4 linked regions of the Saccharomyces cerevisiae S288C genome follow. The gene in region 3 interacts genetically with the main gene of each other region. Each region holds a gene or a part of one and is shown on either strand. Other genes may lie near its edges.

Region 1 (7,497 bases), on a different chromosome or scaffold from region 3:
GTTGCATCTCAGTCTCACACATTTTGAAACTCTCAAATTCACCTTCAAAAAAGCGGGACTTAATTACTCGATTAAACCAGCGCGTAACCTCTGGATGCTTAGACCTCCATGTTTCATCGAAAAAACTTATAAACCCTAGCGAAAAAGCAGCCGCTGAGATTAAATCAGCAAGAGTTTCGTGGTCATCACAGACAAGGTATTGCTGTTTCTTTAACCTTTTCTCGTAAAGCGAAACAATGGTGTCGACATTCTCTCTTGCGGCTTTGAATTCAGTGGCATTATATGGCTTTACGCCAATTAGAGGGAAAAACACCTCACAAACCTCATTCAAGAAATCACTGTTGGAAAGCGATTCCCATCTTAAAATATCTGCACGAGTTTTGAAGTCACCTTCGGGACCCAACAACTGGCGCACAGCTTCCTTGTCGCTCGACAGATGGATCAAGTAGTAGTCAATAGCCATTGCCTCTGTAAGCGTCCACTCGTCATGCGGTCCAACAAAAGTTGGGTACTTACGCAAGGGAAACTCCCTTTCGTAAAGTTGCTGAGCGTCACTTGGATCAGCAAGCTTAACGTCCAGCTTCAAGGAACGCACTAAACCTCTTGGCACAATGGTCCTAATCAACTTTCTCTCCTTCAAATCAGTAAACAGTGTTCCGTCAGACATTTGTAGTTTTCTACACAAAGATGCCGAAATCAATGATGAGCAAGTATCGAGTTCGCTTCGCACTGCTACATCTAGGCTTTTATAAGGGGTGGTATCGTTTAAAGGTGCGGCTATTAAAAGGGATGAATACGTGGGAAACGGTTGCATTACAGGAAAAACAGCTTTTTATCTTATTATATCTTTAAATATGTACATACGCTTGTTTATACGTGGAGGCGACAAAAAGGGTTGGTTGAAGGGAGAGAGAAAGAGACGCACAGAGATTGGAGGAGGGGCTCAGTTCGCTGATTGTTTCTTCTTCTGTGTTAGGTTTTCCAAAGTTAACCTGTCGTTGTCGTCGTCATCTTCACTGGGAGGCGTTGAGTTAGTGTTTGAATCTGAATCTGAATTTGTATTCGTGTTGTTAGAATTTGTGTCTTCATCATCTTCCTGACTGAAAAGATTTCCATTGTCATCCGGTGATTTAGCGGTAGAGTTTTCGCCCGTAAATTCGTTGGCAAACTCTGTAGCCGGAGAGGCCTCCCTGATTAGCTTCCTAGTAAACGGATCATCCAAAAAATTCTGTTTTCTTTGTCGTTGATTTTGTTTCTTTAATTCATTGCCTATTAACTTGGAGTAGAGTTTTTTGCCCAACGTTTTCTTTAGCAAGATTTCACGGACTTCGAAGTACAAGTCTCTGGAGGCGTTATTCAAATTTGTCTGGTTTTTCTTGAAATATGACCTGAATTCATTGATGTGTTTTTTGAACTCCAGTTCGTTTTTCTTCAACCAAGAAACGTTCAGCTCCTGTCTGGTAGCACCCCTTGCAAAGTTTCTCATCAAATATTTGTCATAATCTCTGATGATCTTTGTGATAATATCACTTGTAGAGACACCATTGGTTCTTTGGGTAGTCAAGAATTTTCCCATCTCCTTTATTGGCTTGTAGATATCGTCGCTGTCGGCGCTAACGTAAGGAATATCGTCATGTGCCACGTAGTCAATCTTGTGTTCTAGTAGAAATTCTGGGGTGACACACCAGGGAGCGTTGGGCACGACTTCGTCAACCCATCTGCAGTGCGTTAAAGTTTCACAACGCTGCTTATCGGTCAGCACAGTCAAACCTTTTAGTTTGTGAGTGATTTTGTCGCTAGGCACACCAACTATCAGTGTTACATTGGGGAAAGCCTTCTTACACTGTTCCAGTTGCTTCATGTGGCCAAGATGGAAAAGATCAAAAACACCATCTGCATATATCCTGATGGGTCTATCCGTTGGAGGCAAATTGAATCTGAAACCTTTAGGACGATACTTGCGCAGTTCCTTGGGCAACTCGTTGGTGTAACGAGCCTCCTTCTCTTCAAACTCCTTCGTCAACCGGCGACGCTTGCGGGGAGTGAGCTGTGTGTCCTTATTTTCATCCTGGTTCTTACTCTCATCCTTATCCTCATTGTCCTGCTCTTCCGTTTCCTCACGCTGTCTTTTATTTTTATTTTTTTTAAATAGGTTTGATAGCGATGAGTTAGAAAGCTTAGCCCTAATCGAGGACTTCCCTGTTGTTGGGTTTGCCATTTTTCTTTGTGTCTGCTGTGCTTTGTACTACCAAGAGAGAATAGCAAGAGTGAAATTTGAAAGTTAAACAATACAATAAAGAAAAGTGACTGGCGTATGCAAGAAAGGGGAATGGGTATAAAAAATACAAGAACGGCAGAAAAAATAAAAGAAACAGGAGAAACAAACAATGGTAACTGTACTAAAACCAATACCAGATATATATTTCATACTTATTAAAAAGCGTTAAGAAACGAAGCGTAAAAACGTAAGAAAAAGAATGACTATATAACGGTAGGTCTTCGACTCATTTTTTTCTTCCTACATGCAAACGACAAATACGGGTAATGCACATTTCGCTTATTGGGTTCTTCCCTTTCCTTTTTTCCATTTTTTTCTTTCTGGCTGTCGCTAGCCTTTCTACTTCCTCCGCACATACAGTTTTCAGCACAGTATAGATAGCTGTGCAGCCAGATAGAAGCAAAAGAGAAGTCAATTGCAAAAAAAATATGGACTCGTACTCAATAACAAACGTAAAATACCTGGATCCGACTGAATTGCATCGTTGGATGCAAGAAGGACACACTACTACGCTGAGGGAGCCTTTCCAGGTAGTGGATGTGCGAGGCTCAGATTATATGGGGGGCCATATCAAGGACGGATGGCACTACGCCTATTCGCGCCTTAAGCAGGATCCGGAGTACTTACGTGAGCTAAAGCACAGATTGTTGGAAAAGCAAGCGGACGGCCGCGGAGCGCTGAACGTGATTTTCCATTGTATGTTATCGCAGCAGCGCGGACCGTCTGCAGCGATGCTGCTGCTTCGGTCGCTTGACACGGCGGAACTTTCTCGCTGTCGTCTATGGGTGTTGCGTGGGGGGTTCTCGCGCTGGCAATCCGTATACGGTGACGACGAGAGCGTTACGGCGGGTTACCTACCCGATCTGTGGCGTTGACAGGTTTACACAATCGCACGTGATCATATATTTGCCATGACTCCTCCCAGTGACAATTTTGTTCTTTTTTCCTCTTTATCGCTTTCGTACTATGGTCAGTCATTCATTCATTATATACGCGCTCTCCATAACCCGTAACTTTTTATTATATATAGACTCGTTTACAATACAACGATAGCGATACCATTCAATTGAAGTTGTGAGACCAGGTAACGAGACGAACACAACTTTACAAGTCAAATAAGAAATCATGGCTGGTCAAGTGTTGGACGGCAAAGCATGCGCTCAGCAGTTTAGAAGCAATATTGCTAATGAAATCAAAAGCATTCAAGGTCACGTGCCTGGGTTTGCACCTAACCTTGCCATCATTCAAGTAGGCAACAGACCAGACTCAGCCACATATGTACGCATGAAGCGTAAGGCAGCTGAAGAGGCCGGCATTGTTGCTAATTTCATTCATTTAGATGAATCCGCTACTGAATTTGAAGTTCTGCGTTACGTGGACCAGCTGAATGAGGACCCACATACACACGGTATTATCGTGCAACTACCATTACCCGCTCATTTGGACGAGGATAGAATCACCTCGAGAGTGTTGGCAGAAAAGGACGTGGACGGGTTCGGGCCCACCAACATTGGCGAATTGAATAAGAAGAACGGACACCCATTCTTTTTGCCCTGCACGCCCAAGGGGATCATTGAGCTGCTTCACAAGGCCAACGTCACGATTGAAGGTTCCCGGTCCGTTGTGATCGGAAGATCTGACATTGTTGGCTCTCCTGTTGCAGAATTGTTAAAATCTCTAAACTCCACCGTCACCATCACTCATTCTAAAACCCGTGATATCGCATCATACTTACACGACGCGGACATCGTAGTCGTTGCCATCGGCCAACCAGAATTTGTGAAGGGTGAATGGTTCAAACCAAGAGACGGCACTTCCAGTGATAAGAAAACCGTGGTAATTGATGTTGGCACCAACTACGTTGCTGATCCTTCCAAAAAGTCCGGTTTCAAATGTGTTGGTGACGTTGAGTTCAATGAAGCAATCAAATACGTCCATCTAATCACTCCAGTGCCCGGTGGTGTGGGCCCCATGACGGTGGCTATGTTAATGCAAAATACCTTGATTGCTGCCAAACGCCAAATGGAAGAATCCTCGAAGCCTTTGCAGATTCCTCCCTTGCCATTGAAGTTGCTAACACCTGTTCCTTCCGATATAGACATCTCCAGAGCACAACAGCCAAAGCTTATCAACCAGCTTGCTCAAGAATTGGGTATTTACTCTCATGAGTTGGAGCTGTACGGACATTACAAGGCCAAAATTTCTCCTAAAGTCATCGAAAGGCTGCAGACGCGCCAAAATGGTAAGTACATCTTGGTGTCTGGTATCACACCAACACCACTGGGAGAGGGTAAATCCACTACAACAATGGGTCTTGTCCAGGCACTAACGGCTCACTTGGGCAAGCCAGCCATTGCGAACGTCAGACAACCCTCCCTAGGACCCACTTTAGGTGTCAAAGGTGGTGCTGCGGGTGGTGGTTATTCCCAAGTCATCCCAATGGACGAATTCAACTTACATTTGACTGGTGACATTCACGCCATTGGTGCGGCTAACAACCTACTTGCTGCCGCTATTGACACTAGAATGTTCCATGAGACCACTCAAAAGAACGACGCTACCTTCTACAACAGACTAGTGCCTAGAAAGAACGGAAAGAGAAAGTTTACTCCCTCCATGCAAAGAAGATTGAACAGACTGGGTATTCAAAAGACCAACCCCGATGATCTAACACCCGAAGAGATCAACAAATTCGCCAGATTGAACATTGACCCGGACACTATTACTATCAAGAGGGTGGTCGATATCAACGACAGAATGTTAAGACAAATCACCATTGGTCAAGCCCCTACCGAGAAGAACCACACAAGAGTTACTGGATTCGATATCACCGTTGCTTCTGAATTGATGGCTATTCTTGCTCTTTCAAAGGACTTGAGGGACATGAAGGAACGTATTGGAAGAGTCGTTGTTGCTGCTGACGTAAACAGGTCTCCAGTCACTGTTGAAGATGTGGGTTGTACCGGTGCCTTAACCGCTTTATTAAGAGACGCTATCAAGCCCAACTTGATGCAAACTTTAGAAGGTACTCCTGTCTTGGTCCATGCCGGCCCATTTGCCAACATCTCTATCGGTGCCTCTTCTGTTATTGCTGATCGCGTGGCTTTGAAATTGGTTGGTACCGAGCCAGAGGCAAAAACAGAAGCTGGTTATGTGGTTACTGAAGCAGGGTTCGATTTCACTATGGGTGGTGAAAGATTCTTCAACATCAAGTGCCGTTCCTCTGGATTGACACCTAATGCTGTGGTCTTGGTTGCTACTGTTAGGGCATTGAAGTCACACGGTGGTGCTCCAGATGTCAAACCTGGCCAACCTTTACCTTCCGCATACACTGAAGAGAATATCGAGTTTGTCGAAAAAGGTGCCGCTAACATGTGTAAACAAATTGCCAACATTAAGCAATTTGGCGTCCCCGTCGTTGTCGCAATTAACAAGTTTGAAACTGACACTGAAGGTGAAATAGCCGCCATTAGAAAAGCCGCTTTGGAAGCTGGTGCATTTGAAGCCGTAACCTCTAACCATTGGGCCGAAGGTGGTAAAGGTGCTATCGACTTGGCCAAGGCCGTCATCGAAGCTTCCAACCAACCAGTGGACTTCCATTTCCTATATGACGTTAACTCCTCCGTTGAAGACAAATTAACTACTATCGTTCAAAAGATGTACGGTGGTGCCGCAATCGATATCTTGCCTGAAGCACAACGCAAGATTGACATGTACAAGGAACAAGGTTTCGGTAACTTGCCAATTTGTATCGCCAAGACACAATACTCTTTATCCCACGATGCAACTTTGAAAGGTGTTCCAACCGGGTTCACTTTCCCCATCAGAGACGTCAGATTGTCTAATGGTGCTGGATACTTATACGCTCTTGCCGCCGAAATACAAACCATTCCTGGTTTGGCTACCTATGCTGGTTACATGGCCGTGGAAGTCGATGATGACGGTGAGATCGATGGCCTGTTCTAAGACAACTTAATTATATAGAATTTAATAAAGACAAATGCAAAAGTTTTTTTAAAGTATGGATGTATAATAATAATAACGATAATACGAACACTATTGGGACTAATAATGATTTATAGTTTTTTTTACACAGGGGATTTAACGTTCCGCGACCCTTTTTCCTTTAATTTAACCCCAGTTCCTTAACGTCGAAAATTTCCGATTCCGTTAAGGAGGAGAAAACCTAATTACCAAACGAAGCGGGGAGACGCATTAATGAGAACAATAAATGTATGAAACTTTTAGCAATCTAAATGATACTATACCAAGACAAGCGAACACTGGCTAGCACAATATTTGGGCGGAACGAAATAAAATAACGAAGATATACATAAGACACAAAGGAAAAAGCGTTCCATTGCATCTCTGAAGTGAATAATATAAAAAGTAGTAAAGCTAGAAATGTGTGATAAGTCAAAAACGGTATTGGACTACACGATAGAATTCTTGGATAAATATATACCTGAATGGTTTGAGACGGGAAATAAATGCCCCTTGTTCATTTTCTTCTCGGGCCCACAAGGCTCAGGCAAAAGTTTTACAAGTATCCAAATCTATAACCATTTGATGGAAAAATATGGGGGTGAAAAATCTATCGGTTACGCCTCAATTGATGATTTTTATTTAACTCACGAGGACCAATTGAAACTCAATGAGCAATTCAAGAACAATAAGCTGTTACAAGGACGTGGTTTACCAGGTACTCATGATATGAAATTGTTGCAAGAGGTATTGAACACCATCTTCAATAATAATGAACATCCGGATCAAGATACTGTCGTACTACCCAAGTACGATAAATCCCAATTTAAAGGAGAAGGGGACCGTTGCCCCACTGGTCAAAAAATCAAGCTACCAGTCGATATTTTTATCTTAGAAGGTTGGTTCCTCGGGTTCAACCCCATTTTGCAAGGAATTGAGAATAATGATCTTCTTACTGGGGACATGGTTGATGTCAATGCCAAGCTCTTCTTCTATAGCGACTTGTTGTGGCGCAACCCAGAAATCAAATCTTTAGGGATAGTATTCACCACCGATAACATTAACAATGTTTATGGCTGGAGACTACAACAGGAGCATGAACTAATATCAAAGGTCGGAAAGGGGATGACCGACGAACAAGTGCATGCTTTTGTGGATAGATACATGCCCTCCTATAAACTTTATTTGAACGACTTTGTCCGGAGTGAAAGTTTAGGTTCCATTGCTACATTGAC
Region 2 (8,135 bases), on a different chromosome or scaffold from region 3:
ATTGCACCTACACTGATTTTATACCGTTCCATAAATGGTTTTCACGTATTATCACCGTGATTGGTTTGCTTCATGGGATTTTCTTCATCATTAAGTGGGCGATAGACGATAATGTCTCTCTAAAGCAAAAATTGATTCTGAAAACTTTCAATTTTGCGGGATTCATAATATCAATATTGGTACTTTTTTTACTTATTTGCTCGATTGGGCCAATGAGAAGATACAACTATCGTTTGTTTTACATCGTACATAACCTGGTGAACGTGGCCTTCATCTTACTCACCCCAATACACTCTAGGCCAGGTGTTAAGTTCCCATTTCTTCTACTAAACTGTACCCTATTATTCATTCATATTATCAATAGAATAGTATTTGCGAAATCCTTGATGATTTTGAATAAGAATGCGAATTATTCAAAAACAAATTTAGTCCATGTAAGATTGCCCAGGGCTATTCTTCCAGATTATTTTGAACCAGGGTCGCATATTAGAATAAGCCCTTACAGAAGAATTAATCCCCTCTATTGGTTGCTACCATCGCATCCATACACAATTGCGTCTTTGGCAGAAGACAATTCAATTGATCTTATTATAAAGGAAACCTCTACAGCCGAGCCAGGTAGCCAGATAGAGTCTCTTCGTAGTAATCCAAAATCCTTTCATTTAGATCAAGAAAAAACCTATACTTTGATTAATAGTTATCCTCCCTCTGTACCCGAAGAATGTTATTCTCAAGGCACGAATATAGCTATTATATGTGGTGGGTCTGGTATATCTTTTGCCCTACCACTATTTAGGCATTTTTTTAACAAGGAGAATGTAAAATACTTGAAAATGATCTGGCTGATAAAAGATTACTCTGAATATGAACTTGTTTTGGATTATCTCAAGACAAATGGGTTGACTTTTGAGAAAAAACTCTCGAATAATAAGAGGATTTCAGTATTTATTAGTGGAGAATACACGGCGGAAACACGGTTAGACGAAATTACGACCAATATCGACGATGAAAACTCAGAATATGAAATGGGATCTTTCAACAATGAAGACGAAGACCTTTCGATTTCTAATTTCAATTCAGAAAATGCGGACAGCAATGACAATACGCCAGAGACAAGTCATAGCCCCACAAAAGAGAATGGAAGCATGATCGAGGTAAAATCCAAACACAGTTTTACTCTTTCCAACGAATTGAAGAGCTTCAACAATGAAAGTGCACAAGTGAACCAAAATGAAACATGGTTGTTTTCATGTGGTCCTCCCTCGTTATTACAATTGTCTAAAAAATATTGTAACGATGAAAGGATCAACTTTGTCTGTGAGACTTACGGATTATGAGGGGAAAAGAAAAGAATAATAATGTCTTACGCAATATGCTCGGAAATGATATTCCACGACATTAGATGCTAATTTATAGTATATAGAAAACAAAAAATACATATCTGTTTTTTAATGACCTTTAGTTTATATGCTTTCTTGCGCGGCTATTAGAATACACTTGACAGGTTGTACGCATTATTAATCGGTAAATGGAGATATATTAGAGATGATCGTTTTAAAATGGAGGCTGTCTGCAAAAAAATTGGGAGCTACATTAGCAAAAAGCTTCTTTTCTTGTTGTTCTCGGTTTATATTTCAAGAGGGCAGTAGGAAAAAGGATCGAAAAGCTCGGCCTGTGGCCATGTCCTCTAAAAATCAAATATAATTTACTGGCCAACGTTATCGGCTCTTTTTGATATCTATCATCTCTTTAGCTATTGTTATCTGGCAACTGATTCAACTGATATGAACAATTCCATAATTACTGATGATGAGGTTAGAGAGTTTTACTTAAACTGCTCTTCTCAAACAATTATTGAATCTCTTCTCAGCTTGCACGAGTCATTGAGATTATATTCTCAAAACCATGAGATACTGCTCAATAGGATGTTCAAAAAATTGGATGAAACCAATGCAGACTCTAACATATCCCATATATTCATGCCTGTTGTGAGCAAGGATTTTTCAGGAATAAAAATTCTTGTGAATAACAACAACAAAAATTTTCAAGGTGTGATAAATGTTATTGAGCCTGAAACAGGAAAATTAATCGGATGTTTTGAGGCTAAACAAATTACCGCTATAAGAACTGCCCTTGCATCGTGTATCGGTTTATATAAGCAACTCTCATGTTCCCATGATAAGTTGTTTAGATTTGAAAATGGCACTTGCTATTTAACATGTTTTGGTACCGGTCTCCAAGCATTTTGGCACATATACATAGCTATTAAACTAATCATGTCAGGGATTGTTGGCGAATCTTTGAAGTTAGTTGAAATAAACATACTATATCACAATAACATGATGAGTTTGGATCGTTTGAAATCATTGAAAAACTTATTTGGAAGTAATATAAAGATAGAGCTTAATCAGTATCAAATAAACGACATCAGTTCAGAAGGTAATGGCGCTGTTTCTAACAGTGATATTATCTTTGGTTGTCTACCTACTCTAGAGCCCAACTTGTTTTTGAGGCAGTTGCTAAACAGTAAAGCTTCTGTGGAGCAGAAACATACTTATATCTCATTAATTGGAAGTTACAAACCAGTGATGCACGAATGCGATAAGGAGTTGATTGATAAGTTCAAATCTGATAATGAAAGCGCTTGCATTTTGGTAGATTCAAGGGAACATACTTTATTGGAATCTGGAGAATTAATCGATTCCAATATCGCTCCACATAATCTCATCGAAATTGGTGAATTAGATACTTTGAAAAACACAGTTTTGAATTTGAACGAAAAGGGCTGCAAAAGAACTATCACCTTGTGTAAAATTGTTGGTCTAGCGGTTATGGACGTGGCGCTTGCTAAGGAATTCTTAAGCTTGAGAACAAAAAACACAGAAAACAAGGAATAAATTGCATCTTGGCTTCTAGTTTTTTTATATTCAAAAGGGTTCTTAAGTGTTTTTAAATATGATACTTTTTTTAATATCTTACGATCCGGAAGAGATTTTTGATGTTTACATATGAGCAGTTTGATAGAAATTTTGCAATTTTTTATATTTATTAAAAGAATAAAAGTAAAGTGCAGAAAGAAAACAACATCATAAAATATGAAAGAAAAAAAAAGGCAATGTTAGTGTTATGAAGGGAGAAACAATTACCGTATACTGTTTGCAGGTGTCTATCCTCCACGGTATAGCACGTTAGGACCATTTATTCGCGCTACGGATATAGAGTTTAAAATGACTTAATTACATGAATAATACCATAATTCTTATAACCGTCATCAATCTAACGAAAGCTAGGAGCAATTTTCAACATGTATTTCAAGAAATTAGCAATAGAAAAAGAATTGAACAGATATGAAGATTTTTGCCATATTTTAAAGAGAGGCTGGTGACTTTTCTCTGTCGATCTGTGCATAGCCAATATTAAAGTTATTTTTCATTAACGCGCATATGGAAAATAGACAAATGTCATAGGGTTATAGTTCTTAGATTTACTATTCTCTATTTGATGTCGGCGAAACAATGTTCCTGTTTTTTAACCATATTTATGTTCCACCTCGATAGCCGCTGATTATTAAAAAGATGTAGGCTTGTATGGAAATTTTCGAGACTCCATTTTTGGACGAAAGCAATGAAAATTATATACAGAATATTCCAGAAGATCACCTCAAAAATCCAAAAATATGATCAGTGATTTAACAAGAAAACCGAAGATTTCTATTGTTCCTTCGAAATTTTTTCAGTTTTATGTTCAATCTCTATGTTTTTCTTAAAATGATAAAAGGTCGTCCAGCTTGGTGAAGCTTACATTTAAATTAAATAAATTGGTGTGACTGAATAGAATAGCGTCCTTAATAACTAGAGATTACATTGTAGATGAATAACAACTAATTAATTCAAAAAAAGTAATCGTTAACTATTTCCGGAAGAAACAAAGGCTCATTATCAAATTTGATGATCACAACCAATGTGTATTTAAATAAAGGCCAATATCTCACGGTCTGTTGAATCTAAACTAACTATTGAAATATTCATTTGTTCAGAAAAAAAGATCATTAATATTACATGTACTGATATGCTAACAATCCAAAAATGCTTATACTACATATTGTTGTACACCATGGGTACCGTTAAATGACAGTGTAAACAATTGCAGAAGGAAATGTTACACTAGCGGTTAAACAATACTGAATTAAAGATTTTTTAGTTGAATATGATATGACAGTTATATACGTGAGCAATATAAGTCCCCACATTGAGTGTATGATAACTACCGGAATTACTATCATATTGTTCGTAAGCAATAATAAATCAATTAGTGTGGGTGTTTTATACCTCTCTCATATGAGTATATAAAGATCCTTATTTAATTTTGATTATACTATCTTCTAGCCTTCAATTATCGACATCGCTCACTTGAGCAGTTCATCTAAGAAAAAAAGAACTATAGCTAAATAACCCAGTATTATTTGTTTCGCTGTAGGTTGTTGCACAAGGGTTTCTTCTGTGAACATTTTGAATTGTACGCTTAAGATGATAATACCTAACTGATTCCAACCTATATTAGTAGAACCGAAACATACAAATAAGTGGTTGTTTGGCCGAGCGGTCTAAGGCGCCTGATTCAAGCAATATCTTGACCGCAGTTAACTGTGGGAATACTCAGGTATCGTAAGATGCAAGAGTTCGAATCTCTTAGCAACCATTATTTTTTATCTTTTTGGTTCTGTGATCAAGCTACCCGCGTTTGAAGCCGACTAAAGACGAGAAAAATTAGACCTTCATTTTTGCCTGTTTGCTGCATGTAAAAGAATGTTGGTTGAACATGTCGTTTAAGAGAAGAAATCGGGTACGGCGCTCTGGCTTTTAAAATTGAAGAAATTGGTGTTCTTCCGGTTAATACTTTGAACTCGGCTTTTCTTAACATGTAATAAAGTTTGTTACATCTCCCATAATTAAGTTTCTGGAACACGCATTGTTCTATTTTTAGACGGGAGACCAGAACTTCCTGATATATGACCGCTTTTTAGTGACTACGTATACTTTCTTTCTGCAATTACGTGTAAGAAAAAATTGATTTTTTATTTTTAAATTCACGGAATTTCAGACTGTGAAAACTTTGTAGTTCCAACTCACTTTGCTATGCAAGAAAATAATGAGGGGAAACAAAAAAAAAATGAGAGCGGAGAAAAGAACAATGCAGCTCAAGTATGAAGAAGAAAGTCACAGCAACGGAAATAAAAATCAAAATTGCGAAAATTGACAATCTTGACAATCGAAGCGGAAAAACAATGGAAGGTCCAGATACCTGTTGACCTTAAAAATGCAGAAAAATCGCCTTTATACGGCGACATTGTGAAAAATGACGTTAAAATCTTGTACATAAAAAAAGGGAATTACAAACTTGTAGTGTTTTTTTTTTTTAGGGGACTTGCATGAAAGTTAAATTTTATAGAAGTAATTAAATAGTCGATTTCCTTTCCTGTGTGTGACGAATCTAGATTTTTTTCATGTAAGAGACCCCGCCCTGCGGAGAGGGGCAAACAATTCTAGCAGAAAAAAATCAGTGGAAAAAAAAAAGAAATTCCGGATATGATAGAATATTTCTTCGAGAAACCTTTTGGATGAGGAGTGCCCTTCCATGAAGAAATTCTTCCTGCATCAGCACCTTCCCGGCAAGGCATTTCATTTTTTTTTTCCGAGAAGAAGATTTTTAAGTGGGCTACCCCACGCTTTCGGTGCCTATGGTAGCTGCATGATCACACAATGCACTCCCATTAAGAGTTTGTGAAGTGCATGAGATTGACATCTCGGCGTCCCTTAGTTTCCTGTCGGATTTTCAGTTATATGGAGTGGGTGAAGTCATTATCCGAATATTCGCGGATCATTGACGTATAAATACTTCATACTACTTCATACCAGATATTTCCTACATGTTGAAAGTCAATTGAAAAAAATAAATCATCACTTAACTCTTTTCCAGTGACACATCGCAAAGATTACTCAAATAATCTTCCTAAAACAATACTACCAGCATCTATTTCATGCAGCACCAAGCACAGAGGCTACATATCATATAAAATAAGTCATCATAGAGAAAAAAATGTCAGTAAACCCAGAATTTATAGCCGATGGCATCGATTTTTATCCAACAACGCCCGATGCCGCGTATTTCAATGCCGCTGATGGTAAAAATAAAGTTAACAGGATAAATGGTAACTCAGAAAATTTACACCACTCCTTTGCATCGGGTTGCCGTAGATCATCTCTTTCAGTCGACTTTAATGTTACCTCGTCCGATTCAGAAAAAAGTGAACAGAGCTGCTTGGAAAACAACTCTCAAGAAGACGAATATTTTTGTGACATTTTTTCCACTGAATTAAAATTAGATGAAACTTCTAACAAGTCAACCGATTATTCCAGTTCAAATCACCAGTATCCTGAACAACTGGAGTTGCACAATTATAAACTGCTCAATAAAATTGGTGAAGGGGCATTTTCCAGAGTATTTAAAGCAGTAGGCATCAACACGGATGACCAAGCTCCTGTTGCCATCAAAGCAATCATAAAGAAAGGCATTTCGAGCGATGCCATCTTAAAAGGGAATGATAGAATCCAAGGTTCCAGCAGAAAGAAAGTCTTAAACGAAGTTGCCATCCACAAACTGGTTTCGAAAAATAATCCGCATTGTACAAAATTTATCGCATTCCAGGAATCGGCGAACTACTATTACTTAGTGACGGAGTTAGTCACAGGTGGGGAAATATTTGATAGGATCGTCCAACTAACATGCTTTAGTGAAGACTTAGCTCGTCATGTCATTACTCAGGTAGCAATTGCAATTAAACATATGCACTACATGGGTATTGTGCATCGTGATGTCAAACCAGAAAACCTACTATTTGAACCTATCCCATTTTATGGCCTTGATGGGGACATGCAAAAAGAAGACGAGTTTACATTAGGTGTCGGCGGAGGCGGTATTGGTTTAGTGAAGCTAATGGACTTCGGACTAGCCAAGAAACTTCGGAACAATACCGCAAAAACTCCCTGCGGAACGATAGAATACGTCGCATCAGAAGTATTCACCTCCAAACGATATTCCATGAAAGTTGATATGTGGAGTATTGGCTGCGTACTATTCACGTTATTGTGTGGATATCCTCCGTTTTACGAAAAGAACGAAAAAACATTATTGAAGAAAATATCGAGAGGAGATTACGAATTCTTGGCGCCATGGTGGGACAACATAAGTTCTGGCGCTAAGAACGCAGTTACCCATCTTTTGGAGGTTGACCCAAACAAGAGATACGATATCGATGACTTCCTAAATGATCCTTGGTTAAATTCGTACGATTGTTTGAAGGATTCAAACTCAAATTCTTATGCCAGCGTGCAAAGCATACTAAATGATTCATTCGATGAGAGAGCAGAGACCCTACATTGTGCATTAAGCTGCCAATCTGAAAAACAAGATGACACCGAGTTTTCCAGAAGTGAAAGCTCGGAATACATATTTATGACGGAAGAAGACAGAAACCTACGGGGCAGTTGGATCGGTGAGCCAAAAGAGTGTTTTACCTTAGACCTTGCAACATCTTCTATATACCGAAGAAGGAAGAACAAGATATTCTTCTGGTAAACTCTTATCCAGTGGAAAACGCACCCAGCATATTCGAAAATATATCAACTGTCTCCCCTTTTTATACTAATAATTAATAGCATTCATATTGAAATAATAAAAAAGATACGTTTAATATTTACGCCAGCTCTCTAGTTACAGTTTCCTAACGCATACGTCATCAATTTGTTAAGATCGGCTTCGCTCTATAAAAATGTCGGCCGAAATTAGCATAGGATTTTCCGCGGTTCCGACCCCTATCCTAGAAACACGGAAAAACTTGCGAATAATTCCGGAATTTATTCTATGCAACTTTATGAAGACAAATTACTATAAATGAACCGCTCATTCAGAAAAACTATGTCTCGAGCTCAATGGATCTTACTACATAGTTTATAAAAACAGTAATTGTGCATTGTACAACTGTGCTAAACAGACTTAAAAAAGTAATAATTATGACTACTGATACCACTGTTTTCGTTTCTGGCGCAACCGGTTTCATTGCTCTACACATTATGAAC
Region 3 (6,965 bases):
ATGAAATCAAAGGAAATACAAACATTAACCAAACAATCAAATTCAATAAACCAACAGACTGGTTTATGTACGGAGTACAATTGATGGAACAGCACCACAAGGCGTTGGATCGTAAAAGTTCCAAAAAATTACTTCCTTTGAAATATTTTCTTGAGCAAGATGAGTTGATTTTTTGTCTCTGTCTTGAATATTTTGAAAGATCCCTATTTTCGACAATGTACGACTTGACTATTTTAAAGGGCTTAGTCTCGTTGATGAAACACAGATATTGGATAGACGATCCTTTTGTGCTGGGAAGAATTATTTCCACGATGTCCAGGCGAAGTTTGGATGCTGGTTTGAATCGTTGGGAATATTATATTGGTCAGGATGAGGACACTGCCGAAGAATATCGTAAGTTATGGTGGGACTGCTACTGGTGGGATAGATGGTATTCATTGGTCACCGGTAAGCAGCCATTGATACCACATGAAATGACTTCGTGTCTCTTTCCCAAGGATGTGGTTGGATTAGGGGTAGATGATTCGATGGACTGTTTTACTTTAATAAACTTGGTGGAGCTCGACCCAAGTAAGTTTGATATTTGTATCTCTTTCGGCTATATTCTATTAACGAAAATTATTACAGCGGTATTCTCTGGTTTGCTTTATAATCGACACTTTACAGACTACAGATTATTTGCAACTCCTAACGCTAAAGACCTAAATGGAACCGCACGACAGCTTATGGTAGAGTTTTCAAAAATATGTAAAATTTTTCAGTGCATACAAGACAAACTAATCCCTTTCCTCAAACAATATTCTGAAAATAGTAATGTATTTGAACTATACACCCATTTCGGATTTGCAAAGGTTTGTTGTTTTCAGGGAATGGAGAGTTTAATTTTAAGGATACAAAATCTTCTACAAGAAAGAGAGAGAATTGAACTTGATTCCTGCGTAAAGGACATCAGGCTTCAAACCTTTGAAGCATCTGTAGATATTTTGACGGATGTTCTCAAGCACGAAGATACGTTCTATATTTTCCGTTGTTCGTGGTTCATATATGCCATCTTGATGAATATTACCTTGAATTTTATCGAGACCCCTAGAAGGAACTCGATATGTTATTTATCCTTGATGTGCCGCATGATAGCCTCATATAATGACTTATTTGTGAGCTCTGGCAATGTTAATTTCAAGGGCAACAACGCCTTCTCTAAAAAGTTGGAAAATGGAACAGCGGTTTCTTTCATCCTAACACGCATCTGCTGTCAGATGTACACACGTTCACAGAAAATGGCTAAGGAATCGCTGTTTTGTGAATTGAAAAAATATGGCCAGGCTTGCTCAGATGCTGGTCAAGCTGCGTTGGACATTGAATGTATCTGGTACAGGAATATTATAGGCGAACACAAAGAATCAAGCTTCCGTAAAGAAATTCTCAGCATTCTTGATAGGGAAATGGGTGATTTGGTGAATAATAGAGTTATTGGCGTACAGGGAAAAAATCAAGAAGGTGCTTGTTATGAGAAGTTGTCACCCAGCAGCACCAGTGTTTCAGTTGGCATGGACTTTTGTAGCCTCGAAAATTTTGTGACTGCAGAATCTCTACCAGACCTTCTCAATCTATTTTGGGAGGACACTGAATTTGGTATTACTAAAGAAAACCTCGGAGAGTAAAAACCAAGTATGCACCTAAACAATTGATCACTTTCAATTAGGAAATAAAATCCCTTGATTTAGACGAATACTGTAGAATGCAATAAAAGGTTTTGTGATTCTAATCTAGTCCCTTACGTTATGCACCGCTTTCAGGAAGGTTATGGGCTGTACCATGAAATCAAAGGTGGCTCATAACTAGTAAGTAAAAGTAAATGTCCTTTTTTTATGCAAGATCTAGAACGATTCGAGTATGGTGTTGATACCACTGTGGTAAGTCTTTCAAGCTACACGCAATTACACACACTCACAAATCTAGTTGTATTTACTCCTTTTATTGTTGCTAGTCTAATTATTCGTCCCACGATTTTATCGTTCTTTGAGTATTTCGGGTCTCAAAAGATTGCTAAATGAAATAACTCTTAAAAATTGCTTCACATAGTCTTGTTGTTACATTCACAATTCACAGCTTTCCGTTGCTCATCGCTTGATAGGAATATATTATGATAGGGATTATCCTGAAAGTTTCAGCAAAACGATAATTACTTCAGCTTTTCTTCGTCTATTTAACCTAGTTTTCCGTCATAAATCCGTTCTCTTAAAAGCACACCTACTCCACTTTCTGAAATAACATAGATATTGAATTTGACTTAGATTCATATATTAGAAAAATCGAATAGTTTCCTGTGCCTAGAAATTCTAAGGTGCCATTCCAGAGGATTTTTATGACAAAGATGAGATGTAAGAATCAACTTTTTTTAATATTTTATATCTTTCATCAAAGAAACATCACAATGTATATTACAAAGTGGAGAAGCATCCAAAATATAGCTGCAGTGAGAATTCATTGAACTGTATCAACTGGGTGGAAAATGTCACAGTCACTTATGGAATTCTATGATTTTATTCAATAGAAAACATTTAGTAAAGCTGGTAACCGACCTTTTTTTTTTACACATTTTTTTTTTTTTTGCTGATTATACCTTGCATTCTAACACCGGGTTCTGATGTTATCACCTACTTTGTATCTCGCATCATTCTTTATTTGGTAGACACGTCCCAAAATGGAGGATGCGCACTAACGAAAATGAAGGATAATGCAGTGAGAATGATAATTTTGATATTGATAGGATCAATTGAAAGCATATCACATGTTTTTTGTGAAATGTTGTATAAGAGATAGCGCTCTTGTTGGGTTTCGATAGGGGGAATGTGGAGTATCTGATGTAACACTGTAGTCTTATTTCTTGTCATAAAGAGGGACTGATTGGGGTGAGGCATATTATATTATAGGAAAAATTGCAGAATATCTAGGTAGTAGTCGCTTCAATAAATTTTTTTCCGACACAAGAATAATGAGACAAATCGGACTATATTTGACGATTAAATAAACCCAAAGCACCCCTATGCTATATGGGGGAACTTTAGAGTAAACAAGGTTGAAATACGTCAATTTGTAATTTCATAAAATACGTGAGGTCTTTTTGTGAGAGATACTTGCCCATTTAGATTTTTGTCCATATCGTGATAATTTTTTTGAGTTTTAATTAATGTGCTCCACCATCACAGAGTGTGTACCAGTGCAACCCACTCAGGGATATGCTTTAAGTCATATATTCTCGCTCTATGGGAACCATAAGCTGGACACATTTCTTGAGGTTATTTAGTAGCGAAAAATGGCGCAATGTTACTCTTTCACTTCTATTATATGGGGCTACAATGCCAATAAGGATTAATGGGTAGCGATTGTGGTTTCTTACCTTTGTGTAGTTGCGTAGGCTTTTTAGTGTATCAGTGAGCAAATTTAGTCCAAAAAGATCGCCAGCGAAGACTGTCGTATCTGGATCATTCGTAGTATCGATAGCTTAGCGATATTCTCGAGGATGTAAAGACAGCAGATTGGAGTTCTGATAATTTTTCATTACTTTTCAGTGAGAGAGTGCCTTTCTCGTTTTATATCTCAATCCTACCCGTAGAACTGGTCTGCTATTCTCATTTATCATTTTATTTCAAAAAAACCTTCAGGAGACAAACTGATTCCATCAAAGGCCTGTTTGCTATCTAGGACAATATTCGAGCTTAGTAAGTCACTTCCTGAAAACCATTCTGCTTGCGAGCCCGAAGCTTTGTGGCAATCAGTCTTCCACATCTGTTTGCAAGGGTGTTTTATTTCATGTCGTGAGAGATTTGTGATTAAAGCTGTTTTTATTAATCAGTTAGCAGCTTCATTCTCTTGAAGGATATATATAATTTTCTCAGATTTCTTCCGAATAATATTTAATCATTGAAATGGCAAAAATAAAAATTACTGTCAGCTACGCTATCTTTATATAGCTACAAAAAATTAATGGCCACTAAGCAATTACTGAGACGTCAAATCAAAAGGGTAATAAATGCTCTTGACTACGATATTATCGCTGCAGAGTCGCATACTATTTCTCAAGCAGTACGCTCATTGATCGCTTCCGCCAATTCTAGGCGTGTAGCGTGTTATATGAGCATGGATAAAGGAGAAGTAACGACTGGAGAAATCATTAAGAATTTATTTCAAGATGGCCAGGAGGTCTTTCTGCCAAGATGTACTCATACTTCTGAATCGAAACACTTCAAATTACGGGAAGATCATCATCCACATTTAATATTCCATCGAATGAGTAGTTTGAAAATGGTTCGTGATTTGAAGCCTCAAGGTCCATATCAACTAAAAGAGCCTGAACCGCATATTGAGGAATCAGATATTCTAGATGTCGTATTGGTGCCTGGAGTGGCGTTTGATATTAAAACTGGTGCAAGGATGGGTCACGGTGCTGGGTATTATGACGATTTTTTCCAACGGTATAAGATACTGCATGAAGGCCAAAAGCCCCTCCTAGTTGGACTATGTCTTATGGAACAGGTGGCCTCTCCAATTCCTTTAGAAAAACATGATTATTCCATGGATTGTATAGTATGCGGAGATGGATCCATACATTGGTTTCAATAATTTCATATATGTATTATTTACATGGTACAGCTATTGTATAAATAAATAAATAAATAAATAAGTAGACGGCAAATCTATTTTTCTTCTTTTGGATTCCCTTGTTCGCTAGAAAACGTGGCATTAGCTTTGACCAATGTCCTGTTGCCACTTTGGTCCATAAGTTCAGCCTTTAATTTAGTTTTGTTACCGTATTGCTGAAGATCGGTGGTTCTTACTACAACAAATTGATTAGCTAACGTGGGGAACTTGTACGAGATACTCAAATTCTTGGTTTCTTGGTTTATATTTTTTGTTCCTTTTTCGAGTCTAATGGCCTCCTTCATTAAATCTTCAATAACTGTTGCTAAAATGCCTCCGTGAATTAAGAAAGGATAACCAGTAAGTTTCATTCCTAAATGGTATAGCCCGACAGTTTCACGCCTACTGGGGTTGTAGTAAACTCTTGGTGGTATAGCGACGCCACCTGGTGTATTTAATGCCCTTGACACTAACAAGTTCTCCTCTTCATTAGCAATCACTTGTACAAAACCAGCATTCTCCAACTGTTTTACTATGGGTAGGCCATTTAAACGTCTATTCAGATCAGCGTGATATTTGACGACTTCATCTGCGTTCTTGGGTAGGGCATCATATCTCCAATAAGCTAGTAAGTCCGTGAACGTCATATGCTGTGTCAAGTACCACCCTCCAAGAAAACTTCCCCCAAAAATTGTCCATGGAATCCATCTTCTTTTGGGTTTAGAGGCTGTCTTGAAAACAACGCCATTTGTATACGTTCTTATCTGGGCTATTGCGATTCTTTTAAACATCTTGGCCTTGCTGGTACGGTCTCTTTCTCTTCCTTACTTTTCTTAGTTTCTTTATAAACTCTTTGTGCACTTTGTGAGTTTGTTCCTTTTCTGCCAAGGGGTATGCCTCATCGAAAATTAATCAATCTTTAAATAAGGTATTATGTTAAATAAATGAAATGTAAAATGTGTCGCTAATGGAGTACTTAGAGACATTTTTGGAAATCAGTTTTGTGAAATATTAGAAAGAATTCCTTTTGTTTATTTGCTCAGAGTACAACATCTCAAGACTTTTATTCCTGTTGCAAACCAATGTTCACGTACGGTGACCCAAAATGATGGCAGTCATAATCAAATCTAATGGAAGTTGAAATCAAGAAACGATAATGTAATAGGATTGTAAATTACAACTTACAAAGCAAAAGAAGTAATAATAATATGCTATTTAGAATTGCCGATTCTCTTTTATTGATTCCTGTATCTTTTGAGGAGAACTTCTAGTATATGTCTAATGTCGTTTTACTAGAAATGGGACCCCTGAAAATCGTCAGCAACTTTCAACTGAATCTGAGAATGATGCTCAAGTCGTCATTTTATCTTGCAGAAGCTAAGTGCAGGAGTTGATAATACAGCAGAATTAAAAGTGACAACGCAAGAAACAAAAACAAATGCAATCTCAATATTATGTGAAATTGATGATTTCGTAGCGAATCATGCGCACTGTGGGAGAAGCCTGGGTATAATTATGTATGCTAATACTGTTACGTTTATCTGAGGTTTGTGTGAATTTTGTGATAATTATCGGGATTCCATTGTTGATAGAGGCTTCAATACTATGTATACAGAACATACTAGAACTTCTCCTCAAGGGTATAGGGATCCTCAAATTTAATCGGTATTTGCATACAATAATATTACGATTATTTTTCCTATCGTTTTATATGCTTCATTTTCCCATTACATTATCAATTCTTGCATTTCAGCTTCCATTAAACTTGCTAACTCTTTCTCAAGCTTCATTTCATCTTCCTAGATCTCATATGATACTATACCAGCAGCAAGAATGCTACTAAATGGATGATATTCTAGAGTTTCATTTCATCATCTACACGAAGGGATGGGGGCATCTGAAGTATTTGAAACGTTGCTATGATTTCATAATTTATGCAGGTTTAACACAGATTACAGGTCTCTTGGCCCAGTTGGTTAAGGCACCGTGCTAATAACGCGGGGATCAGCGGTTCGATCCCGCTAGAGACCAATTTTTTTGAAAATCGTAAAAAGGCCCAAAAGGGAGAGCACAGCACGTTCTGCTTAAAAAAATAAAAAATGATGTCTTCAATAAAACATCTTAAGGACCAGTTTGTAGATCTGCGAAGTTGTTGACTAGATAAATTATAATAGCAAACAAACAAATAGGACAATGTCAGCGGAGAACATTAGTACTGGCTCGCCGACGGGCAAGCAGCCATCCTCTGAAGTTAATCTTGGCGAAAGAGAAGCTGGAACAAAAAATGAGAGGATGATGCGCCAAACCAAACTTCTGAAGGATAC
Region 4 (8,100 bases), on a different chromosome or scaffold from region 3:
TTGAAACTAACGGACTGTCTGAAATAGCCCCCAGTATCTTACGAGGATCTCTTATCGTCAGGGTGTTGAAACCGAATAAATTAAAAAGTATATCGATAACCTTCAAAGGAATATCCAGAACAGAGTGGCCGGAAGGTATACCACCGAAGAGAGAAGAATTTTCAGATGTTGAAACTGTTGTCAATCACACATGGCCATTTTATCAGGCGGATGACGGCATGAATTCTTTCACCTTAGAACATCACAGCTCAAATAATTCGTCCAATCGCCCATCTATGAGCGATGAAGATTATCTACTTGAAAAAAGCGGTGCTTCAGTATATATCCCACCAACCGCTGAACCCCCTAAAGATAATAGCAATCTAAGTCTGGATGCCTATGAGCGCAACTCATTGTCATCCGATAATTTGAGTAACAAGCCAGTATCAAGTGATGTTTCCCATGACGACAGTAAACTGTTGGCTATTCAAAAGACACCATTACCATCATCTAGTCGAAGAGGATCGGTACCGGCAAATTTTCACGGTAACTCTTTGTCACCTCATACCTTCATATCTGATTTGTTTACAAAAACATTCAGTAATAGTGGCGCTACTCCAAGTCCTGAGCAAGAGGATAACTATCTTACACCATCCAAAGATTCTAAAGAAGTTTTTATTTTTCGACCGGGCGATTATATTTACACTTTTGAACAGCCAATATCGCAATCTTATCCAGAAAGTATAAAAGCCAATTTTGGTTCCGTGGAGTATAAACTGTCAATAGACATAGAGAGGTTTGGCGCATTCAAATCAACTATACATACTCAATTACCCATCAAAGTCGTAAGGCTTCCTTCTGATGGATCCGTAGAAGAGACTGAAGCTATTGCAATTTCCAAGGACTGGAAAGATCTTCTTCATTATGACGTGGTAATTTTCTCGAAAGAGATCGTTTTGAATGCATTTTTACCCATCGATTTCCATTTCGCTCCTCTAGATAAAGTTACTCTGCATCGTATTAGAATTTATCTAACAGAGTCTATGGAATACACTTGTAATAGTAATGGAAATCACGAGAAGGCTCGTAGATTAGAGCCAACTAAAAAGTTTCTGTTGGCTGAACATAACGGTCCTAAACTGCCTCATATACCAGCTGGTTCGAATCCTTTGAAGGCTAAAAATAGAGGGAACATCCTCTTGGATGAAAAATCCGGCGATCTAGTTAACAAAGATTTTCAGTTCGAGGTGTTTGTCCCAAGCAAGTTTACAAACAGTATACGGTTACACCCTGATACAAATTATGATAAAATCAAAGCCCACCATTGGATAAAAATTTGCCTTCGTCTTTCCAAGAAGTACGGGGACAATAGAAAACATTTCGAAATAAGTATTGATTCTCCAATCCATATTTTAAATCAACTATGCTCACACGCGAATACTTTGCTACCGAGCTACGAGAGTCATTTCCAGTATTGTGATGAAGATGGTAATTTCGCACCAGCAGCAGATCAACAAAATTACGCAAGTCATCATGATTCCAATATTTTCTTCCCAAAAGAAGTTCTTTCGTCTCCCGTTCTTTCACCTAACGTGCAGAAGATGAACATTAGAATACCGTCTGATCTTCCAGTAGTGCGTAATAGAGCTGAAAGCGTAAAGAAAAGCAAGTCAGATAATACCTCCAAGAAGAATGATCAAAGTAGCAATGTCTTCGCATCCAAACAGCTGGTCGCAAACATTTATAAGCCCAATCAGATTCCAAGAGAATTAACTTCTCCTCAGGCGTTACCATTATCGCCCATCACCTCACCAATTCTCAATTACCAACCATTATCAAACTCCCCGCCTCCAGATTTTGATTTTGATCTAGCTAAGCGCGGCGCAGCCGATTCTCATGCTATTCCTGTGGATCCTCCATCATATTTTGATGTATTAAAGGCCGATGGGATTGAATTGCCATACTACGATACAAGTTCATCTAAAATTCCTGAACTAAAACTAAACAAATCTAGAGAGACATTGGCCAGCATTGAGGAGGACTCATTCAATGGTTGGTCTCAAATTGATGACTTATCCGACGAAGATGACAATGATGGCGATATAGCATCTGGTTTCAACTTCAAGCTGTCAACCAGTGCTCCGAGTGAGAACGTTAATTCACACACTCCTATTTTGCAGTCTTTAAACATGAGTCTTGATGGGAGAAAAAAAAATCGTGCCAGTCTACACGCAACATCAGTGTTACCTAGTACAATAAGACAGAACAATCAGCATTTCAATGACATAAACCAGATGCTAGGCAGTAGTGACGAAGATGCCTTTCCCAAAAGCCAATCATTAAATTTCAATAAGAAACTACCAATACTTAAAATTAATGATAACGTCATACAATCAAACAGCAATAGTAATAACAGAGTTGATAATCCAGAAGATACAGTGGATTCTTCAGTCGATATTACAGCATTTTATGATCCAAGAATGTCATCAGATTCCAAATTTGATTGGGAGGTAAGCAAGAACCATGTTGACCCAGCAGCCTACTCGGTTAACGTTGCTAGTGAAAACCGTGTACTGGACGACTTTAAGAAAGCATTTCGCGAAAAGAGAAAATAAGTACATTATTTTCATTCTCCGACAGAATTGCTACCATTTTACTTTGTGTCCTGTGATTCAATAGTGTACAATATATTGGACATTTTATAGTATACAAATATACACCATCAATCTATACATCCATATCACTTGTCGTAAAGATATCCCTTTTTAATAGTACAGCGATTAAAAAAATAACATGATTAACGTTCAGTTACCAATGAGCTTATTTATTAGGCTTGCTTTAGATTTTTCCAAGTCAATTTTTGTTTTTTCTAACGCTTGCAACCTCATCTCAACCTTCTTCCTTTGCAAGCAGATCTTCGAAACCATCTCGTTTATTCTCTCAATGCTGTTCCCACTTTCATCATCGTCTGGGAAAAGTACCGGTAAGGGCGTGATGATTTTCTCATTCGATTTGTTTATATTTCCTTTGCTTAAAAGCTGGGTTTCCCATTCTTCATTAGTTCTGTAGGGCACTTCATTTATGGCCTTCTCTATAATCTTTCTTTTAGAATCCTTTTGAATAGCAATTTGATTATCCGTGAGGGCTAGCATTTCGTCTTGAAAGCCTTGCATTTCATCGTCACTGAAGTTCGTAATCTCCTTTTCATTGTTACGTTTCAGACCACCATTTAATCTTATTGTCTCCATAATTTCGCGTTTATCCTCACTGTCCAACAATTTTACATAATCTCTTTCTGTTGTAACATCACTCTCACTAATTTTCCTTCTAGATAATGACTTCTGTGCTTTCAGTTTTGCAATTTCTCCTCGGGTTGGTATACTACTAATGTGCTCACCTTCGGAGCTACTGCCAGCCTCTGAAGAATCACTTAATAGATGATGATTCCCCTCCATCAAGTCCTCCATATTGAGAATTAGCAAATCATCTTTGTTTCGCGTCGATGCATTGGTATTTTTCTTTGAATGGTAAAGATCTTCATAATGCGAATTATCCTCCTTTATTGCTTGTTCGCCATCAAAGGTAATGTCGCGCTTAGGAACTTTTTTAAACTTTATTGGTTGTAATACACAAATGTCGTTGTCATCATCTTCAGAATCGTTCGACACTAGGGGCTTAATTTGCTGCATTGGCTTATGCGCAGAACCATCAATTCCAACCTCCTCAGGAGAACCACTTGGTAACCTAATTTTATTTCTTTTCTTGATCGCCATAATGTGTTCAAATGCTATAACATTGCTAGGCAGAACTTGACGTAACTCGACCAGTTATATTGCTTCTTCAAAGCACAAATTTATGATGATTGCTTTCAGTTATGAGGTTCATTTCGATATTCTTTATGATCTTCGCTTGCCGGGTATCGGACAAATATTGAAATATTATACAGCAAGAAAGAGGCATAAAGAGCCTGGCAGCAGCAAATAATGGCAAAGTGAACGTAGTCCGAGAAACAGTGGCTTAATTATTTAACCTTGGGTTTGCAGTAATTAATAATGACAAGAAAGCAGGCTATTGACTATGCAATCAAACAAGTTCCGCAAATATTGCCTTTGGAAGAGTCTGATGTAAAAGCGCTGTGCGAACAAGTACTGAGTACATCATCTGATGATCCAGAACAAATTGCTTCAAAATTTTTGGAGTTCCTAGGTCATGAAGATCTATCGTTTGAATTTGTAATGAAGTTCAATGAATTATTGAATCAGAATGATAAAAAAGAGGAAAAAAAAACGAAAAATGTGCATCTTGAACATACTGCCCCCACTTCATGGAAAAATGAATCAAAACAGCCCACTAATAACTATATCAATAAGAAGGGAGATGAAAAACCAAAAAAATTAAAGGATGAGAAGAAAAGCTCGACAACGAGGCCTACCGTTCAACCATCAAATCAATCTACGCAATCAAACCCCATAAAGGAGAAAAAAGAGCACAGATCAAAGGGGAAATTACAATCGTTACAAGAAATAGACGAAGCAATCAAGATGCTAGAGCTTCGAGATAGCGGTTCTTCTAAAAATTGTAATTGTCAAGGTACAAGGCATCCAGTTTTCGACATCGCGCCAAACTGTCTTCACTGTGGTAAAGTGGTTTGTGTTATAGAGGGATTGAATAAAGGTAAATGCGGTCATTGCCATGAACAGTTGATTTCTGATAACGAAAGAACCCAAATGGTAGAAATTTTAAATCAGGAAAAAAACGAACTAAACGGTTCATCATCGTCCTTATCCAATGCGTCAAATGGAGCTAATGTCCCAAAGAAGAAGACTAAAACCTACAAAATAACTTCCGGTATGGGTAAAAATTTATTTGCTGAACAGGACAAATTATTTGATTTCATCGAAAGGAAAAGAGAAAGAGAAAGAAAGCGTAATGAAGTGTTGAAATTGCAGGAGGAAAAAGAAGAGAGCGAAGCAAAGGAAAGACAAGCGAGCGAGCATGACCATAAAGCTGAGGAAAACCCGGAGTTGTTAGCAGCACAAGAACGATTAGATAGACTTTTATATTTCCAAGACACTTCGGCAGAAAGAACAAAAATTATTGATAATGCCAGCGATTTTGACATGAATCAGGAGGTGGGTTTATGGGGCAGCGCAAGAGAAAGAGCTCTTGCGTTGAAGAAGCAACAACGTAATTTGAGAAAGTGGGAAAAAGTAGAAAAGGAACGGAATGGCAGGCGCGAGAAGTACGTTGTTAGCATGAATATAGGTTCAAACGGTAAAGTTACTATGACAGAAGTCCCTAAGGATACAGAGAACGTAATTGCAGGTTCAGATGATGACATCAGTGATATAAGTGACGAAGAAGATATCAGCGACCTTAAACATATACACGCTCTGAAAAGTGAAATAAATACAACGAAATCCTTGGAGAATTTGCATTTACAGTCCAAAGCATGGGATTACGAACGTGATAAAAAACAATTCGATAGGCCTACGTATGTGAAAAAAAATTCAGATACTGCACAACAGAATAGAAAAACGGAAGAAAAGGCTCACGACATGCAAGCTTATGATTTAAAGTCAAGAGTACAAGTGGACCAAAATGCAGACGCATCAGTAGAACAGAATATTCTTGCTGTACTTTGATGAATGGTAAAAGTTTATATTATATATGATAGAGGATATAACCGTTATTCATTTTCTGTAGATTTTATCATTTTCTTTGTCTTCATAGTATACAATTTTTTTTTATATGAATTAATGCTTGTTCTTGTCTATTTAGTAGTTAAACTCACTTGCTATTTGCTTCTCTGCCATACGAGCCATACGAAACATTTTATTTTTAGAGTTTTCCTTAGTTGGCTTCTTTTCACTATTACCATCCTTACTACTTTGCAATCCCATAGCCTTTGGCCTTTCACGTAACCCAAAACTTTTAGCTAAATGGCCTAGATGTAAGAACTTCACGTTGAAAAACTTCTTTTCTTGAGAGATATGCGTTGCGTAAGCCCTCACATGACTAATGAAACCTTTAACGGCCAAATTTTTGAATGCGGAATCTCCCACTACTCGTCTTTCTATATTCAAATGCCATGTCGTAGCATTGGTATCCCACTCATATTCTTTATCGCCCACGTCTTTATTTTTGGACGATTTCTCATCTTTTCTAATGAATTTATCATTTCTGTTGACATTCACATCTTTGAAAGCCGGCATTAGTATTTCTTTATCGAATTTCAGTAATTCCCAACCCATCGGATGATACGGCTGGATATAGTCCATATATTTTTCTTCTTCGCCAGGAAGTAAAAATAACAAACTTTCACCCTTCTCACCGGCCCTTGCTGTACGACCAACTCTATGTAAATGGTCTTCAACAGCAAATGGTGGATCCAACTCAATAACAGATCCAACGTGGGGAAGGTCTAGGCCTCTACTTGCGACATCTGTACAGAACATAATAAGATGTTTTCCCTTGGTGGCTTCATTATCACGAGCAAAATGCTGCAATGTAGAGGTTCTCATTTGTTGGGATAAAGAACCGTGCAATTTATAAATCACTACATCTGGGTCCCTAGAATCTGAAAAACAAGGAAACATAGTGTTTCCTTTTGTCAATAGTCTTACAGAATCACCCGTTAGATTTTTATGGTGCCCGTCACTTCCTGAAAATGCGTCATAATGAAACTCCACGCTGTCTGAACATGATACGAATACGATTGTACGCAGCGTTTTGGACTGTTGACCGGAAGCGATGAAATCTTTGGTAATGTTGTTCAAAGTAGCAGCTAATGTTACAAGACGCAACTTTGGTGGGACAATAGTAATCCTCTGCAATAGTTGATCGGGCGCAACCGTTACTATATCAGAATCTTTCTTGGTACCGTTGCTAATCAATTTGTAATCTTTCAACGCCACGTTTCTTAACCTATTAACACCATCAGTAAGTGTAGCACTACATAACATGTGCACTAACTTATGCGGTAGCTTGGGAAATTTTTCGGAGTTGATGGGAATATCGTGAACAATTTTAATAATTTCACTGATCGTCTCATCAAAACCCAATTCCATTAACTTATCTCCTTCATCCAATACGATATACCTTAGAGATTGACTCAATTGCTCCTTGATAACTTTTGTATTTTGTAAATGATCCAAAACACGACCTGGTGTACCGATTATGAAATTGCAACCCTTACGCAATCTAGCTTTTTCTGATTTCTTACGTTCTCCACCAATCAATAAACATGGGACCAAGTAGTGACAACATGACACAAGCGTGGAACAAACATGATATATTTGTGATGCTAGTTCTCGTGTAGGAGCAATAACCAATGCAAATGCACCAGAAGTACGATCAACATGAGTATCCATGTTCAAAATAGTAGATATTATAGGTAAAAGATACGATAAAGTCTTACCTGAGCCTGTTTGGGCGTGAATGAAAAAATCGTTCTTCCCCGCGTTACCTATTATTTGAGGTATGGCCTGCTTCTGGATGCTCGTAGGCTTTTTAATACGCATTTTTTGCTCCAGATGAGAAACAAGAAGACTAGAGACACCTAAAGACGCAAACTGATCACCTTTCAAGGGCGCGTTAGACGGATTGATGGCAACGTTTTCATCATGAATATTAGTGTTTACCGCAGTTGTAATCTCTCTGTTAGATGTAAACAGGGATGAAACAAACTGAGAATCGGCTGGTAGAGTTCTCCCTTGAGTGTTATGAGCATTTCTACCCTTATATTTTTCCTGCTCTTCAGAACTATAGGAACTCTCCTTATGCAATTTTTTAATAGAATTCTCGCCTCTACCCGGAATTATCCCTTCGTCCCCTGTAGTGTTCGCCTTTCTTTTCCTCGAGACTGTCTTGCCCTCAAGCTTCATTTTCATTCTTCTTCTATCCTTCCATCTACCGCCTGTCACCTTGGCAGCTTGCTTATAGGAACTTCCTGCAGTGTCCTCATTGGTAGTGAAGTTTAACAGCATAGAATCTTCATCGCTCATCTTGGTGTTAAATTGCTGAATAAGTATGCTTATTTGGAATATGAATAATCCCAAAGGAAAAAGAATATAAACAATCGTACTTTCTTAAATTAGAAATATCACATACAAGTACTCA

What was found.
Region 1: mutations in FAU1 (region 3) and ADE3 impair growth when combined (synthetic growth defect), as found in Saccharomyces cerevisiae (2 studies listed by BioGRID, with this or other methods).
Region 2: mutations in FAU1 (region 3) and RCK1 together harm fitness more than expected from each alone (negative genetic interaction), as found in Saccharomyces cerevisiae (2 studies listed by BioGRID).
Region 4: mutations in FAU1 (region 3) and RQT4 together harm fitness more than expected from each alone (negative genetic interaction), as found in Saccharomyces cerevisiae (2 studies listed by BioGRID).

The regions. Positions count from the first base shown.
Region 1 is NC_001139.9:902,531-910,027, forward strand, and holds ADE3 (trifunctional formate-tetrahydrofolate ligase/methenyltetrahydrofolate cyclohydrolase/methylenetetrahydrofolate dehydrogenase ADE3), read left to right. Parts: upstream 1-3,403; coding exon 3,404-6,244; downstream 6,245-7,497. Other genes in the region: YGR201C (uncharacterized protein), read right to left, coding at 1-667; PCT1 (choline-phosphate cytidylyltransferase), read right to left, coding at 944-2,218; phosphatase YCH1, read left to right, coding at 2,707-3,153; YGR204C-A (uncharacterized protein), read right to left, coding at 6,531-6,644; TDA10 (putative ATP-dependent kinase), read left to right, coding at 6,683-7,497. UniProt on the Saccharomyces cerevisiae protein: Cytoplasmic isozyme of C-1-tetrahydrofolate synthase.
Region 2 is NC_001139.9:200,937-209,071, forward strand, and holds RCK1 (putative serine/threonine protein kinase RCK1), read left to right. Parts: upstream 1-6,096; coding exon 6,097-7,635; downstream 7,636-8,135. Other genes in the region: AIM14 (putative metalloreductase), read left to right, coding at 1-1,337; YGL159W (uncharacterized protein), read left to right, coding at 1,785-2,897; carbonyl reductase (NADPH-dependent) ARI1, read left to right, coding at 8,070-8,135.
Region 3 is NC_001137.3:550,992-557,956, reverse strand, and holds FAU1 (5-formyltetrahydrofolate cyclo-ligase), read left to right. Parts: upstream 1-3,987; coding exon 3,988-4,623; downstream 4,624-6,965. Other genes in the region: TOG1 (Tog1p), read left to right, coding at 1-1,661; FMP10 (Fmp10p), read right to left, coding at 4,698-5,432; YER181C (uncharacterized protein), read left to right, coding at 6,161-6,484; SLO1 (Slo1p), read left to right, coding at 6,835-6,965. UniProt on the Saccharomyces cerevisiae protein: Only enzyme known to utilize 5-formyltetrahydrofolate (folinic acid) as substrate. Contributes to tetrahydrofolate metabolism in an alternative way of folate biosynthesis.
Region 4 is NC_001143.9:479,388-487,487, forward strand, and holds RQT4 (Rqt4p), read left to right. Parts: upstream 1-4,031; coding exon 4,032-5,624; downstream 5,625-8,100. Other genes in the region: ALY1 (Aly1p), read left to right, coding at 1-2,594; NTR2 (Ntr2p), read right to left, coding at 2,784-3,752; DBP7 (putative ATP-dependent RNA helicase), read right to left, coding at 5,757-7,985.